2 separate regions of the Mus musculus genome follow, and region 1 is reported to be linked to region 2. Evidence: microRNA targets listed by miRTarBase, many of them from high-throughput screens and not tested one by one. Region 2 holds a microRNA gene; the other region holds the end of a gene's coding sequence.
Evidence for each region. The annotated mature microRNA mmu-miR-409-3p reads GAAUGUUGCUCGGUGAACCCCU and lies in region 2 at 3,359-3,380, opposite strand. An mRNA with a match to its seed (bases 2 to 7 or 8) in the 3' UTR can be bound and repressed. Matches are read on the target gene's strand: a 7mer-m8 pairs with bases 2 to 8, a 7mer-A1 pairs with bases 2 to 7 and ends in A, and an 8mer does both.

Region 1: the mRNA of Nsa2 is a reported target of mmu-miR-409-3p. Seed matches in the 3' UTR shown: 7mer-A1 at 3,144-3,150.

Annotation. Positions count from the first base shown.
Region 1 is chr13:97,126,686-97,133,403 of GRCm38, reverse strand. Nsa2 (NSA2 ribosome biogenesis homolog) reads left to right here. Exons shown (of 6, transcript NM_021552.5): 5 at 1,369-1,561; 6 at 2,176-3,977. The coding sequence ends at 2,243. It overlaps Fam169a (family with sequence similarity 169, member A), which reads right to left. Exons shown (of 13, transcript NM_001100458.1): 13 at 3,882-6,718. The coding sequence ends at 6,366. Among named protein-coding and RNA genes, the nearest start is that of Nsa2, 7.9 kb to the left of the region's middle.
Region 2 is chr12:109,739,538-109,746,583 of GRCm38, reverse strand. Mir409 (microRNA 409) reads right to left here and starts at 3,426; the gene lies at 3,348-3,426. Mirg (miRNA containing gene) reads right to left here. Exons shown (of 8, transcript NR_028265.1): 3 at 4,769-4,894; 4 at 4,294-4,522; 5 at 3,166-3,227; 6 at 2,737-2,918. It overlaps Mir541 (microRNA 541), which reads right to left and starts at 4,175; the gene lies at 4,086-4,175. Mir412 (microRNA 412) reads right to left here and starts at 3,295; the gene lies at 3,216-3,295. It also overlaps Mir369, Mir410 and Mir377.

The sequences.
Region 1 (6,718 bases), not on the chromosome of region 2:
ATCTCAGCTGAATCTTAATATCAGATTCATAATAGATTTGAAATGATTTTGTATAACATTTGCCAGTGAATACTGTATTTAAACATGATGCATTAGACTCTTTTATTTTATAGTTATATATTCCTTATTCAGTAAGTAAGCTGCTATATGCCTGAAGAGCTAGGCCTCAAACACGGGCCTTTGTGACAACTCATTAGACAGGGGAACATTGCTTACATTTGGTCTTAGCCGGAAGACCAAAGAGCATTGGACTGTTCAGCTAAGATTTAGTGAGGTGGATGTCTTTTTTACTGCGTTTGAAAACATCTATATGTAATTATTTTGTCTTTATAAGGTGCAGTATGTAAGGTAGCTAGATTCCTATTGAGAGCAGTGATTACCTGCCAAACCTAGGCTCTCCCACACCCCTGAGTTTCTCCTGCTTTGAAAAGCATGACACTTACTATGTTTTCTCAGAATCCTTTTTGAACAGGAATGCTGTTGATCCTAGCATTCAAATGCTGTAGTCACTGCTAACAGCCATGCTCACTTGAAGAGTGCAATTTTTTCCTCCTCCAATTCAGTTACTGGCCAGAGACTGTCTGGCTGCAAAGCCAAGAATACTCTTGGACTATATATTATTGATTCCCTTGATTTTGTATTCATAATCTTTGAAATATATTTTAGTATCTTTTTTCTTTCCAGGGAAGAAAGGTTCTCACAAATACTCCAAAACAAGGAATCTAACACAATTTTCCTTCCATTCCTACATAAGTAAAATGAAGGCTAAAAGGTTCTGAAATTTAAAGTACTGTGCTCACAGGGCCCCATTCAGGTGACTGGGTGACATCTGTGTAACAAGGTCCTCTCTCTTCTCCAGTCTTTGAATCATGTTACTTCCTACATAAAGAAGGCTAAGAGTCTACCATTCCTTTTTCTTTCCCATCTTTCAAGGTGGCTGGTATTTCAACTCCTGAAATTGGAACTTGTAGGTTTCATTCTATTTACCATGTATTATTTGATCTGGAAACAAAGCTCAAGGCTGTATGCAGACCTTGCTTCATCATTGACTGTGAAAATAGAGGGCTTTTATACGGTTTTCATGTATAAACGAGCCACTAGTGAGCTATGGCCGTGTTTGGCATATTTCCTTCAATAAGTATGATGAGCAAAGAAAAATACAAGCGTTGACATAATGGTCGTACATGGGATAACCCATTTTGGATTGCGTATGCTTCTTCCTGTCCACTATGCGATTTTTAATCTGTAGAAATGTATTTCCTCTGACGTTTTAAGACAGTATTCATCCCCTGTAGAGATAATTAGAAAAGATGAGGATTCTAAAGACTCTACTCACCATTTGGACGCATTTTTATGTTTGATTTTTAGGGTCTACGTTTCAAAAAAGCCCATGTCACACACCCTGAGCTGAAAGCTACCTTTTGCCTGCCTATTCTCGGTGTGAAAAAGAATCCATCGTCCCCATTATATACAACCCTGGGTGTGATCACCAAAGGTACAGTTATTGAAGTGAATGTGAGCGAGCTGGGCCTTGTGACACAAGGAGGCAAGGTGATTTGGGGTAAGTAAAAATAAGTCTGGTGTTGCTTTTCTGTAGTCCTTTTCTGAGTGTTAAAAGATATAACAGGTGCTGGTGAGATGGCTCAGTGGTTAAGAGCACTGACTGCTCTTCCAAAGGTCCTGAGTTCAAATCCCACAACCACATGGTGGCTCACAACCATTCGTAGTAAGATATGACACCCTCTTCTGGTCTGTCTGAAGACGGCTACAGTGTACTTACATATAATAATAAATAAAATTTTTTTAAAAAGTATCTAACAATTTTCTAATAATTTTCAGCAGTTGGGCTGGAGATATGAGGAACGAAACTTTCACTGATTTAGTTCCTACTTTTATTGCTCATATGTTTGAAAATGAAGATATGTTTTAAAATAGGTGTTACACTGATTTGAAAATCATTTAGGAAAAGAAAGTCACTGTAAAAGTTAACAGTAACATAATGTATTGATAAAATAGAGCTGGCTGCCATTTGTGAACGTAACTTATTCTTGAATTAGCTGATCTTCTGCTCATTTCTTATATGAATAGGGTATTTAGAAATGTGAGATTTAAAGTTTTCTTCTTTAAGCTGATTTTTGCTAACTCCTTTTCTTCCTTTGATTTGGCTTTCCTTAGGAAAGTACGCCCAAGTTACCAACAATCCTGAGAACGATGGGTGCATAAATGCGGTCTTGCTGGTCTGACAGTGACGTCACTCATACACGTCATTCCACTCACTGCTGAAGACCACACCCTGTCAGGAAAACACCGTCCCTGGGGTCTTTCTGAACCACCGAGCAGCCTTACCTCATGTGCAGTCATCAAGCATTTACTAAGTTGTAAAGGAAAATAAAACTGCCCAGTTTGACAGTTGGTCTTTAGTTTGGGGCATAACGGTTTACATGTTAATAAAATTTAGTGACTGAGTAGCCAAGGACACAGAAGCATACTAAAAACTATGTATGCAGCAATACAAGTCTGTCACAATTGAAAAGCCATCAGAATAGTTGAAAGTTCCTGTAAAGGTCAAGTATTTTCCATTGTGTTGCCATTAATCCTAAAATGTGGAACATTTTAAACACATGGTAGTGTTTAAATTCATAAACAAGTAGATTAAAAGTCATAGAGAAGGTAAATTAGATGAAAAGAGTGCACAATTCAGTGCTTTCACTCATAACTAATACCTTATATAGTACTGCAGTGACCTCCAGTGTACTTCCTCCATTTCCTATATTCTAAAAATAGGGAGCTCGCTCACTACTGCTACAACAATGTGAACAATTGGGTTAGATAATTCTCCACCATGTACCAGTGACTTGAGATGTGGCAATTAATTAGATTGAAAGGTCATGATTTGGGGTTATAACTTAAATCCACGTTCTTAAGAGTGTCTGTATATTAATCTGTAATCACCATATTGCTTTAAATTGTTTATTTTTTAAATCTACTTTCATAATACAGGCAGTGTGATTAGCTGTGCCTTTAACAGAATCATTCAATGTCTAATATCTAAGCACATCTTCATGAATGCAACTCAGAGGAAAGGAAATTTAAAACACAAGACTAGAAAACAATCACAAAACACAAGTTTAATTACTATTTTAAACATTAAGGGGGAAAAAAAAACCCTAGCAAAGAAACAAACCATAAGTTCTCCATAAGACTTGGTATTCTGAATATTTTTTTTAAAGTTTTTAGAACATACAAAGATATTAAAGGAAAAGGCGGGCCTAGTTCCTTGGAAAGGACTGACCAGGAAAGGCAGAGTGACTTCACTTTCTTATAATTAGATTTTAACATTGTCTACCAATCAGAACGGGCAATGTGTATTTATCTGCCTGAGTTACGGTGAAAGGAAGCCTGACTCCAGGTGATCAGTGGCTATTGCTGAAGTACATTTGCTTATTTTTTTTTTTAGGATTGAAACTAGCAAACTGTCGTATACTAAAAAGTCATGGGAGGAAGTATTAAAACAAGCATGACTTCTGTAACAGACCACGCCCAGAACCACCAGATTGCAAATGGACATCAAAGCAAAAGCTGCTCTCTTCAAATAGTTACATGAGTAGTATTAGTACAAATTCCTTATTTACATCAAAATCTGTTTCAGTTTGCTGGTGTGACCACAGCTTAGGTAATTCCAAAGGAGAAGCAACTTCAGAGATGTTTAGTTGGTAGAAGGGCTTAAAGGTCTACTAAAGTCACAAACCACTAGGTAACACTACACTGGTCACCTGTTCAAAGTAGACCATTAGTGACTAGAAGTCCTCCTTAGCCTCTGCAAATCAACGGTAAAAGGAAAGTAGACACAAAGTGGAAGAATGTGAACACACAGAGAAGACTGACATTCTAAGTCATGCCATTTGATTTTATTTTAAAAAATCATAATAGAATCTCTTTAAAAGTTTTAAAGGAGCTTTACAATAAAATTCTTAAATAAATTTTTGTGTGGTCTAACAGTTTAAGTTTGAAAGTAGAACTAAACTTCTGGTAGTACACTTCTGCTATGTTACATAAGGAAATATATATGTATATACACCAGAAGGGAGCTTCCTTCTCCACATTCATGACTCCGAAACAGAAAGTACCAGTTCACAGGAGACTACACAACGGGACAGAGCACTCAAACAGCTGCTTGAAATCTCTGCAGTCCTCATGCCTTGCTACATTTGTTTAGATTCCCTACTGAACATAAATTATTACAAATTTTATATAAACATGTTACTGAATATGAAAGATTTTTTCCTGTGACCTAACTTTTCCTCTATGATCTATACAAACTTTAACTTCTGTCACAGACAACAAGGTAACAAGTTTTCTTGTATGCAGAGCAAAATGTTTGAATCCCATCTTTATCAAACAAGTTTAGGAAGTATATAAGTTTATACTGCTAGTACCCAGTGTGGTATGTGAAAATTTTTCTTTAACTCTAGAGACTATTCATACATTGAGCTGCCAGTGAGTGCAATCTACTAAAACACTCATTTAAAAAAGTAATGGAAGGGGAACAGGAGCCAAAACAAAATACCAAAACAACATATCCAGAAAACTTTAAATGTGTGTTAAAAATCAATTTCTGAATCTTAACATGCCTTTCAAATGCTATCCCTGGTTGAGATATTAACAAATTTCTCTAAACGTGTAAAACAGCATCAGCATTTGGCAAATTTACTAATTAGTCAAATCTATTTTATAACAGCTTTTACCAAAAAAAAAAAAAAAAATGGTCAAAGTATAATTTTCACTTAGAATGAAATTATCTAACATCTAGCCAAAATTAAAACAACAGGTAAGTGCAAGTGTTCTAACTTCAAGGGTTTGCTATTTGGTTTGCTGCTTTAAGGTCTTAACTAATTAATCAGACTTTTCTAAAATACCAACATCCCTAAATTAAAATGTAAGACATGAAATCACCAATCAGCTGACCAAAGACTGAAATGACTGAGCATAAACTCACAAGTACTTCATGACTCAATTTCTCAACATTTCTCTCACAAGGTTCAAGCTGTTTCAAAAACAATTCTAATTGGTCTCAAAATAGTCTCTAACTGAAATACAAATCAAAGTATGTGGTATTCCCCAAGTGCCACTGACCAATTTTCTATGAATTCTAATAACCATTTAAAAACCAATTGTCATTTTTTTTAAATATTTCTAAAATATCAAATAGCCAGGTGGTAGTGCTGCATGTCTTTAATCTCAACACTCAGCAGGAAGAGGCAGATCTGAGCTGGAGGTCTGCCTGGTTTACAGGATAGTCAATGCTACACAGAGAAACCCTGTCTTAAAGTATACAAGACCCAAAGGGACCGCAGAGTCAGAATCTAGGCATTTGTACATCTCACTGGGCAGCTTTATTCCTTCCATCTAGGACTAAAGGTGTTTGGATTGAGTTCTAGACCTATCCAAATATGGATACAGGGCATAACAGGCAAGCTGGGTGGAGGTCTGTTGATAGAAGAGTCACAGTGAGACAGCAGTGAAGAATTAAGGAGGCTTGGGGAGGGGCCTACACTTCTGCACTATCTGTGATCAGGACGACAGTCCAAATTCAACTATATATTAACTTCAATTACTTGAGGTGTTTAAAAGATAAAAGTGTACTCAAGGTTTTCAGCATCTGAAAATATATAGAGAAAAAAATTATAGCAAACTAATACTTCATGTGGAAGTATTAAATTTAAAATTTAAATTATGTACCCACACACCACAGTTATATCTTTAACAGTACTAACACCAGATATGCAGCCTAAAGTACTTCTCACAGACTTGAACTCCATCTACAACTAACATTAAGAAATAAAAACAAAAACCATCTTCATAAACCACTGATCATAAATTTCTATTTTTTGTTCTCTAACTTGATACTATATTTAATTAACTGACTCCTTTTGTTTAGGTATGCTTACACCTAAAAGATGGAGATTGTTTTGATACTAAGATAAAACTTTGAGAATCCTTACCAAATTTTACCATTAAAACCCTTAGTATAAAAGATTCCTATGATCAAAGTCTAATAGTTCTTTTTAAGTTGTATTTTTAAAATATTAATGATTAGATGCTCCACCTGCTGAAGAAGAATATGACCTGGAATTCCAAAATTGACACATGGTTCATAAACGAAAGTTACTTAGAGAAAATAGCCTGAAAAATGAAAAAGAACAGCGAATCCTTGTTCTAAAGGAAAGAGAAAACCTGCATGTGTAAATAAGTTCCAGTGGAAGGTTTAGAATCTGTCCTGTGCCCCATGCTGTTTATTAATTACTGCAGTTTAAAACAACAACAATAACAACAAGGAGGATGTGTGAACTGCATTGCTCCTTCATTCAGGTCAGCTTGGCTTTCTTCTTGCCAGGGCCCTTATGCCCTTTGGCCTTTCTTCTCAGATTGCGCCTGTCTACTACAGGAACTTCCACTTCAATCTCCTCTGAGCTGCTATCCACAGCTTTCTCTGCTGACTGTGTAAACTGTTCCAGGTGCTCAGAGGACGCTTCAGACTGTTCCTCTGACTGGCTCTTCTGTCCTGCATTCTGTGGAAATGGCGCGTCTTCAAGTTCTACCTCTATCAGAGAACTCTGAGTAGCCGATGGTTCCTGGGCCTCAGGTGCTCCCTCCTCACCCTGGTCTTCCACTGAGGAAGTAGTGTTGGGTGATAAATTCTGAGAGACTGGTTCTTCGG
Region 2 (7,046 bases):
CCTCTTAGGGTCTCCAATGAATTTGGAGTGTGCGTGTCGGTGGTTGCTTGGCACCCCAGCTGACATTCCATCTTGTACATAATACTCCCTTGGTGGCTGAGGTACCTGGGGCTTTCCCCATCGGTGATGCAGAGACTAGGGGTAGCCTATCTGTGGATGCCGTGGTGTGACTGCGCTTACACTGGAGCAATTAAATGGAGAGATCAGCAGCCTTCTTGCACGCGTTTAATATATTCCAAAGATGTGTCATTAACAGCAATTTCCATCTCCAAATGTTCCCATTTGCTTAGGTCCATGCATAAAATATTAGCCCTGACAGCAGCTCAGGCCTGCTGCACGAGGGCCTCTGAGGGGCCTCTGGCTTGCTGCCACGGAGACGTTCACGGAGTGGAGGGTGGGGGTTGTGCTCAGATGAATTTGAAGCCTAGCATGAGACCCCCAGCTACAAAAGTAAAGAAAAGCCCGCAGACATAGCTGACCTGTCTGTCCCCTATCGCTGTACGTCTCAAAAATCGGTGACTAGCTGGGGTGGGAGGCCTCTAACAAATGCAAAGACTAAGTGAACCCAGCTTCTATATTTATGGAATCAGCCACCACATCTTATGGAATTCCTGCTTCATGCTCACCACCTTCCTGGGGATTAACCTAATATGGTTTCTGCCTTTGGGGACTCTATTAGTCAATCAGCACACTCCATTATTCTGTCACTATAGACCTGGCCTGGATCCTAAGGCTTAGAATACAGCAGAAGATAAGTCAGGGAAGTAAGATGGGAGGGAGGGAAGGGGTAGGGAGTAAAACAGAGGAAAGAGAAAAGACGCAAAGGAAAGGTCCTCGTCTGCCTTGGGAAATCTTAAAGCTTTTTTCTTTTCTTTTCTTTTCTTTTCTTTTCTTTTCTTTTCTTTTCTTTTCTTTTCTTTTCTTTTCTTTTCTCTTCTTCTTTTTTTTTTTTTTTTGTTTTGTTTTGTTTTGTTTTGTTTTGGTTGGGGTCAGGGAGAGGCTGGGAACCAAGGTACTAGGCAGTTTGGGAAAGCAGGCACCTGGGGAGCCATAGCTGACAAGCAGTCTGATGTCATATCACAAAGGAAGGAGCTGGATAAGAGTGTCAGGCTGCCTGCACTGTCACTGCAGAGCAGGGAACACGATCCCCTCCGAGTCTTGAACTCCTGTGGAGGGGGCCTACAAGCTTGAGGACCAAGGAAGGGGGATGGACTGTGGGAGACAGTAACCAGGACCAACTCCCAGAGAGAGGGCGCCTGGGCAGACCATCCTGAACAAGAGAAGAAATCTAAAGGAGACCATGTGCTAGGTACAAGCCAGGGTGCGCAGCCACTATCTCTGTTGGAAGAGCATTTTGCTGCTGAGGAGGCCCAGAAGAGGAGAAAAAGCATGCAGGGTGGAGTTGCCAGGGTGAGGGTGCTACTTGCTCCAATGGGGAGCAAGCCCAATCAGAAAGAGCTCTTTGCCACCCTGGGGAGCCTTACTAAATACCAAAAATCTATAGCCTGTCTTTCAAAGGCTCCTACTGGGTGTGATCAGGTACTTTCTGGGGTCCTTGAGACTCTAGGTCAAGCCTCTACAGTAAGCTCACAGGAGTCTGACAGAGCCAGAGTGTTAAGTTGGAGGAAACATGAAGAAGTGCAGGCTACATTGGACACGCAGACTTTGTGTGCCCCGGTACAGGGGAACGCCAGGGCCAAAGGGGGGGAGTGGGTGGGTAGGGGAGTGGGGGTGGGTGGGTAAGGGGGACTTTTGGTATAGCATTGGAAATGTAAATGAGCTAAATACCTAATAAAAAAAAAATGAAAAAAAAAAAAAAAATAAAAAAAAAAAAAAAAAAAAAGAAGTGCAGGCTAATCCCTACTGGGCCCCCTGTGCTCGTGAAGCAGGGACAGAGCTTGGGTATCACTGCCTTGTAGACTCAGGAGGACATTCTGTGCTATTTCCAACAGGGTGGCACTGAGGACAAGACAGGCCAAGGGATGGTCTCACATACAGACTAGAGAGTCAACCAACACAAAGGCTTCAGTTCTTGGCATCAATGCCTCAAAGTAGAAATGGTCTAGGGTAGGACATGGTGCAGAGAAGTAGGCTGTGGGATAGTCATCAGATAGAAAACAAACGTCTCAGAGACAAGCTAGCTCAGGTACCACCAGCACGGACTCTACTTAGGATGCTTCTTCCTCTAAGATGCCCTTCTGGACTTCCCAACCCCCACCTCAGGAGATGTGAGGCTCTGGGTCAGGATGAGTCAGCTACATGCCTGACCATCAGTGGTGTCCAGTGGGTCAGCAAAGTGTGTCCCTCCCCTGACACCCATGCTCACACAGTAAGAGCCAATGATAAAGAGAGGTGACCATGCACTGTACCAGCATTAAGAATGGAAACCCGTCACGGGCAATCTCACCTCAGATACTAGGAACTGCACGTGTAACCAACTGGCCTGGCTCTTCCCTAAGTATCATGCTAGCCCCTCCAAGCCCTCATGGTATTGAGAAGCACCCAGGGTACAGGGCATTTGAGCATGCAGCCCTCGGTGGAAGCCTTAGACAGGGACAAACACCCATTGTTGTGGCGGGAAAGAGGCATGGAAAGTGGACAGCCATCCATTGCACATCTGGCCAATGCTTCGTGGCCCAGCCTACAAGGTTGGTGCGATCCCAGGAGGCTCCTCAGAGCTGAGGTTCAGTGAAGAGGGGGTGACAAGCGTCATACAGAGTCCATGCATTTACCTACCGGGCAGTGGTGTGACACCTGGTATGTACTGCCGAGTGACCGGAGTGGCAGGTGGTATTGAAAACAGGCCATCTGTGTTATATTCGTCATTAATAAAGCGAACTCATCACAGACAACCTCTCCTCAAGTACCCAGTGTTGACCGCAGCAACCCTGGAGCTGGAATCACCACCTGAAGCTGTCCTGGGGGGAAGGGGGGGATTGCATATAAATGGTGAGTAGGGTTGACACAGGCAGCACACAGCCTGTTCCACCCAGCCCAGTTCCCCGCGGAGGCAGCAACCTAGAAGCACCATGCTGTCCCCACCCCCACAGGGGCTGCAACTCCAAGAGCTTCTCCAAGCTGAGCGTTGATACTGAGAAAAGATCAACCATGTATTATTCGAAGTCAGCCAAGCGAATATAACACGGTCGATCTCCCTTCAAGTACCAGCAGAGGTGTTGAGCTGAGGCTGTGACATCCTGGGCGCAGGCTGCAGCGGGCACCGACGGCTAGTGGACCAGGTGAAGTACATTAGAAACAATTACTTTCCAGCTGGTCGACCATCCGTCCCATACCCCAGAGCGAGATGAGTCCATGGTCTTCCCTGAGGTGGCCTCCCTGGAGGGATTTGATACCGAAAAGGGGTTCACCGAGCAACATTCGTCCTCCAGATGCAAAGTTGCTCGGGTAACCTCTCTCCGAGTACCACGGAGAGGCTCGGATGCTCAGAACGAGGCCGATGGCTGAGTTTCCAGAAGAACCATCCTGGAGCCCCTCAGAGATTATAACTCCCCATTCAGTGAGGAGCCACCCTCCACCACGTGAAAGCAATTATTCCATCACCTCCCCAGTGCAATCTACCACCCTTTCACCTTCCAAGAATATCTAAAGCCTTCCCAGACAACCTTGAGACCCAGGTAGCGAGGAGCTGACTCGGGGCAGAAGTGGGTGCAGAACTCTGCTTACTCTATCTCTCCTTTGTAAGCTGGAGATAGGGAGATGCTGAGACCCTGCGCATATACCACACCACCCTCCCAGAGACGATGCCTTCCAGAAGCGAGGAGGCAATGACTGCATCATCCAGAGATGCTCCTCCTTGGGCCCACCCAACCACTGCAGCCCCACGACCCTGGCATCCCCGCCCTGTCACCTGCCCCCTCCCCCCACGGTGATGTCATAGCAAGAACTGCTTGACCATCCAGTCCTATAAACCAAGCAAGTAATGCTTCAAAGATAAACATGGAGGGAGGAGAGAAAGAACAGCGGAAGGAGATCCCGCAGGGTCCCCTTGTGCCAGTGTGTATGGCTGCCCCGCACGAGCACGCCAGGGAGGGCTCTCCAGTAAGGGTCAGGATCCATTGACTTAGGCCATAAGCAGAGTATGGATTCTGTGTTCGCCACTCATTTTAAAACTCTTGGAGTGTGACCAACATCAGAATCCCTTCTCTGATTTTGGCAAGAGTTCACACAGGCTTCTAGCCTTGCTGCAGGGCAGCAAGAGACTGGTCACATGCAGTGTGTCATACGGGGAAAAGACGCCACGGGCAGCTTCATGTAGGTGTTCTGGAAACTGACCTGTGGGACAGAGGCTCTTTCCCCAGCTGGCATCACCTCCTGGAAATGCTCCTAAGAGGCACACAATGGCGATGATGGTGGCTAACGGTAGCTACAAGATCCAGTCAACAGTATGGGGAGGGAAGCTTGTCCAGGTTCTTCCTCCAAGCACTTGTCCTGGAGAGAGCTCCAGCCACTGACCAGTTCCAAGACAATGATGTAGCCTCTGGAGTCCTTTGAGGTAAAGATCCTTTTGGAAAGAGAGCCACCATGAAACCTGGTGCTCATCACACCCCAGATAGTATATTAGACCCTGGATACATCCACTCTAAAATGACCTCCCGTACGGGCCTAGCCCTTCAGCACCAACAATGGGTACGTCTTTAAGCCTAGCCCTGGGAGCTGGCAACATGGAAACCCAAGGAAGGGCAGGCCCTAGAATGTTCCAGGTACCAACTGCTCGGCAAGAGCAGACTCCCCAGAACCAGTGTCTTACCCGGAATGTTTCATGAGGATCGAGGAAAGTGAAGAAGACTGCTCAGTGGGCACGTGCTCTGGCACTGGTACCCAGTCACATCCTCCAGGTGACACCCGCCAGCTTCTGAATACTCCATGAAGCTCTCTGTAAAGGTTTGGGATGGGAAAATAAAGTTTAGCCACATTAAAAAAAAAAACCCACATGGTGACCAGTCCTTCTTATCACCCCACTAGCTCTAGTCTATATCCATAGATTTCCCCATCTCAAACACCACACCCACATTGATTTTCATAAAAAAACATGCATTTCTTTCCTTTTTTTTTTTTTAAAGTAAATTCCATTAAACTAATCCAATTCCCTGTTTAGCTTCCTTGACTGTGCTGTTGGGCCATTTTCATTTCTTTTATTTCCCTTGTTATTTCCTCAAATCATTTTCATTAGGATCAATTCTTTCCCATTTAAAAATCTGAACGAAGATTTGATTCCTCAATGTGCGTTCATCTACCACAAATATTACTGCTCATAGCATCCGCCACTACTGAAGCTGCCCCTTGCGGCTGCCATGTCTACAGAGTACTGTTTCCCCAGGTCAAATGTCGCAGCTCAAATGTTGTCAAGAAAATTGGATTCTTCTGCCAATTTGTAGTCAATTGAACACATTTTCCTCCAAGCTATTCTGGTAGTTTGTGGTGTTATTTTGTGATTATTTTATCACTATTATTTAATGTAAACGGGATGAAATGCTGGTCGCCTCTATTCATTTCCTAACCCATCCAAAAATGGAGAACAAGGTTTGGTGAGCGATGAGGACGAAAGAGAAACAGACAGAGGTGTGTTGAGGGGGTGGGGTGGGAGGGGGGAAAAACAGATGGTATGTGAGCACTCCTGACCCAGTGAGTTGAGGAGAGGAAGGGGGTGGGGAGGGAAGGCTGCCATTGTCCTTGACACTGTCAAAGGACAGAGTTCATTTTGTCAAGGTATCTTCAGAGTAGAGATAGAACAGCGAGTGTGTCTGCAACTAGGGGGGCTAGGTGCTGGTGTGACAAAGAGGATTCAGGCTGAGAAGAGTCAGGGAGTAGATATTGGCATCTCTCCATTGGTTCCTGGGACTACATGTCTGGTCACGTGGCGTTCTGAGCCACACCCCTTCCTGACCATCCCCATATCCACACCTTCCATTCTAGCACATGACATTTGCAGAGACCCCAGAACTTTGTAACGTGTCCCCAATGCCACCCCAAGCAGGCTTTGATACTCAAACAAAAGTTGCCTTTGTGTGATTCAACATCAATAAAGCGAATTCACCAAGGGCAACCTCTGCTCAAGAATCAAACGTCAGCACAGGCCGAGAGTTGAGCAGGGCGCCTCTTCCCCAGGCAGCCCTGCCTCCCTCGGCTCTGGCTCCCTGACTCCCACCCTCTAGGGAGGCTGGCATTACCTCCGATGAGCCCCCAGGTCCAACTGCAAAGCAGACTAGCAATGGACTGACTTGCAGAGTTCTCTCCTGCCTACAGGTGGCCAGAGACTTGTACAGACATCCAGGCTTTGGCCAGAAACTGGTCACTCACCCAGAAGCACACGGACACCAAGTCTGAATCCCAAAGTGTTTCTCCTAGAGAAGTCCTGAGGTAGGTTTGACATAGAAGAAACCATGACTCTCTGTGTAGTAGGGTCCATCCTGCCCACCAATGAAGGCTGACCTAAAAGAGGATAACTCCCTTTCCAAGGCAGTATCCTGAGAGACCGCACAGACAAACCAGCAGCATCAGGGTACAAGGTGTCTGCACCGTCCTCTATTCTCTCTGGCTTCTGAGAGGCCTCAAAGAGGGTTCAACAAAGAAAACATGTCCAACTGCCATTCACTCAGCATCATTCGTCCTGTGTGCACCTACGAGCATTAGATGGGGTTTCTGAGCTCAAGGAACCTGTGTTCTAGAGGGTGGGAAGAGATCCACAGAGTAAGGACATTCATGCAACAACTATCATTATAAAAGCCAATGGTTTTCCAACTTTCTGGGGGAAACCAGGCACTCTCAAAATACTGAACACACATTCAGCGTGAATACATACCTTATAAGCAGCCATTAACACTCTCAGACAGACAAACGGAGGCACAGACAGGTGACAGGCTGACTCATTCAAGGTCACACCATTAGCAAGCATCGGGTGGTAATGAATGCTGCTGGGTTCTCTCCTTCCCAAGGGACACTGGAGCAGGGAAAGGACATCAGCATTCTCATGTCACTAAATGTCACTGTGAGCCACCTCTCCCCATTCACCAGCCTGACATCTGGTT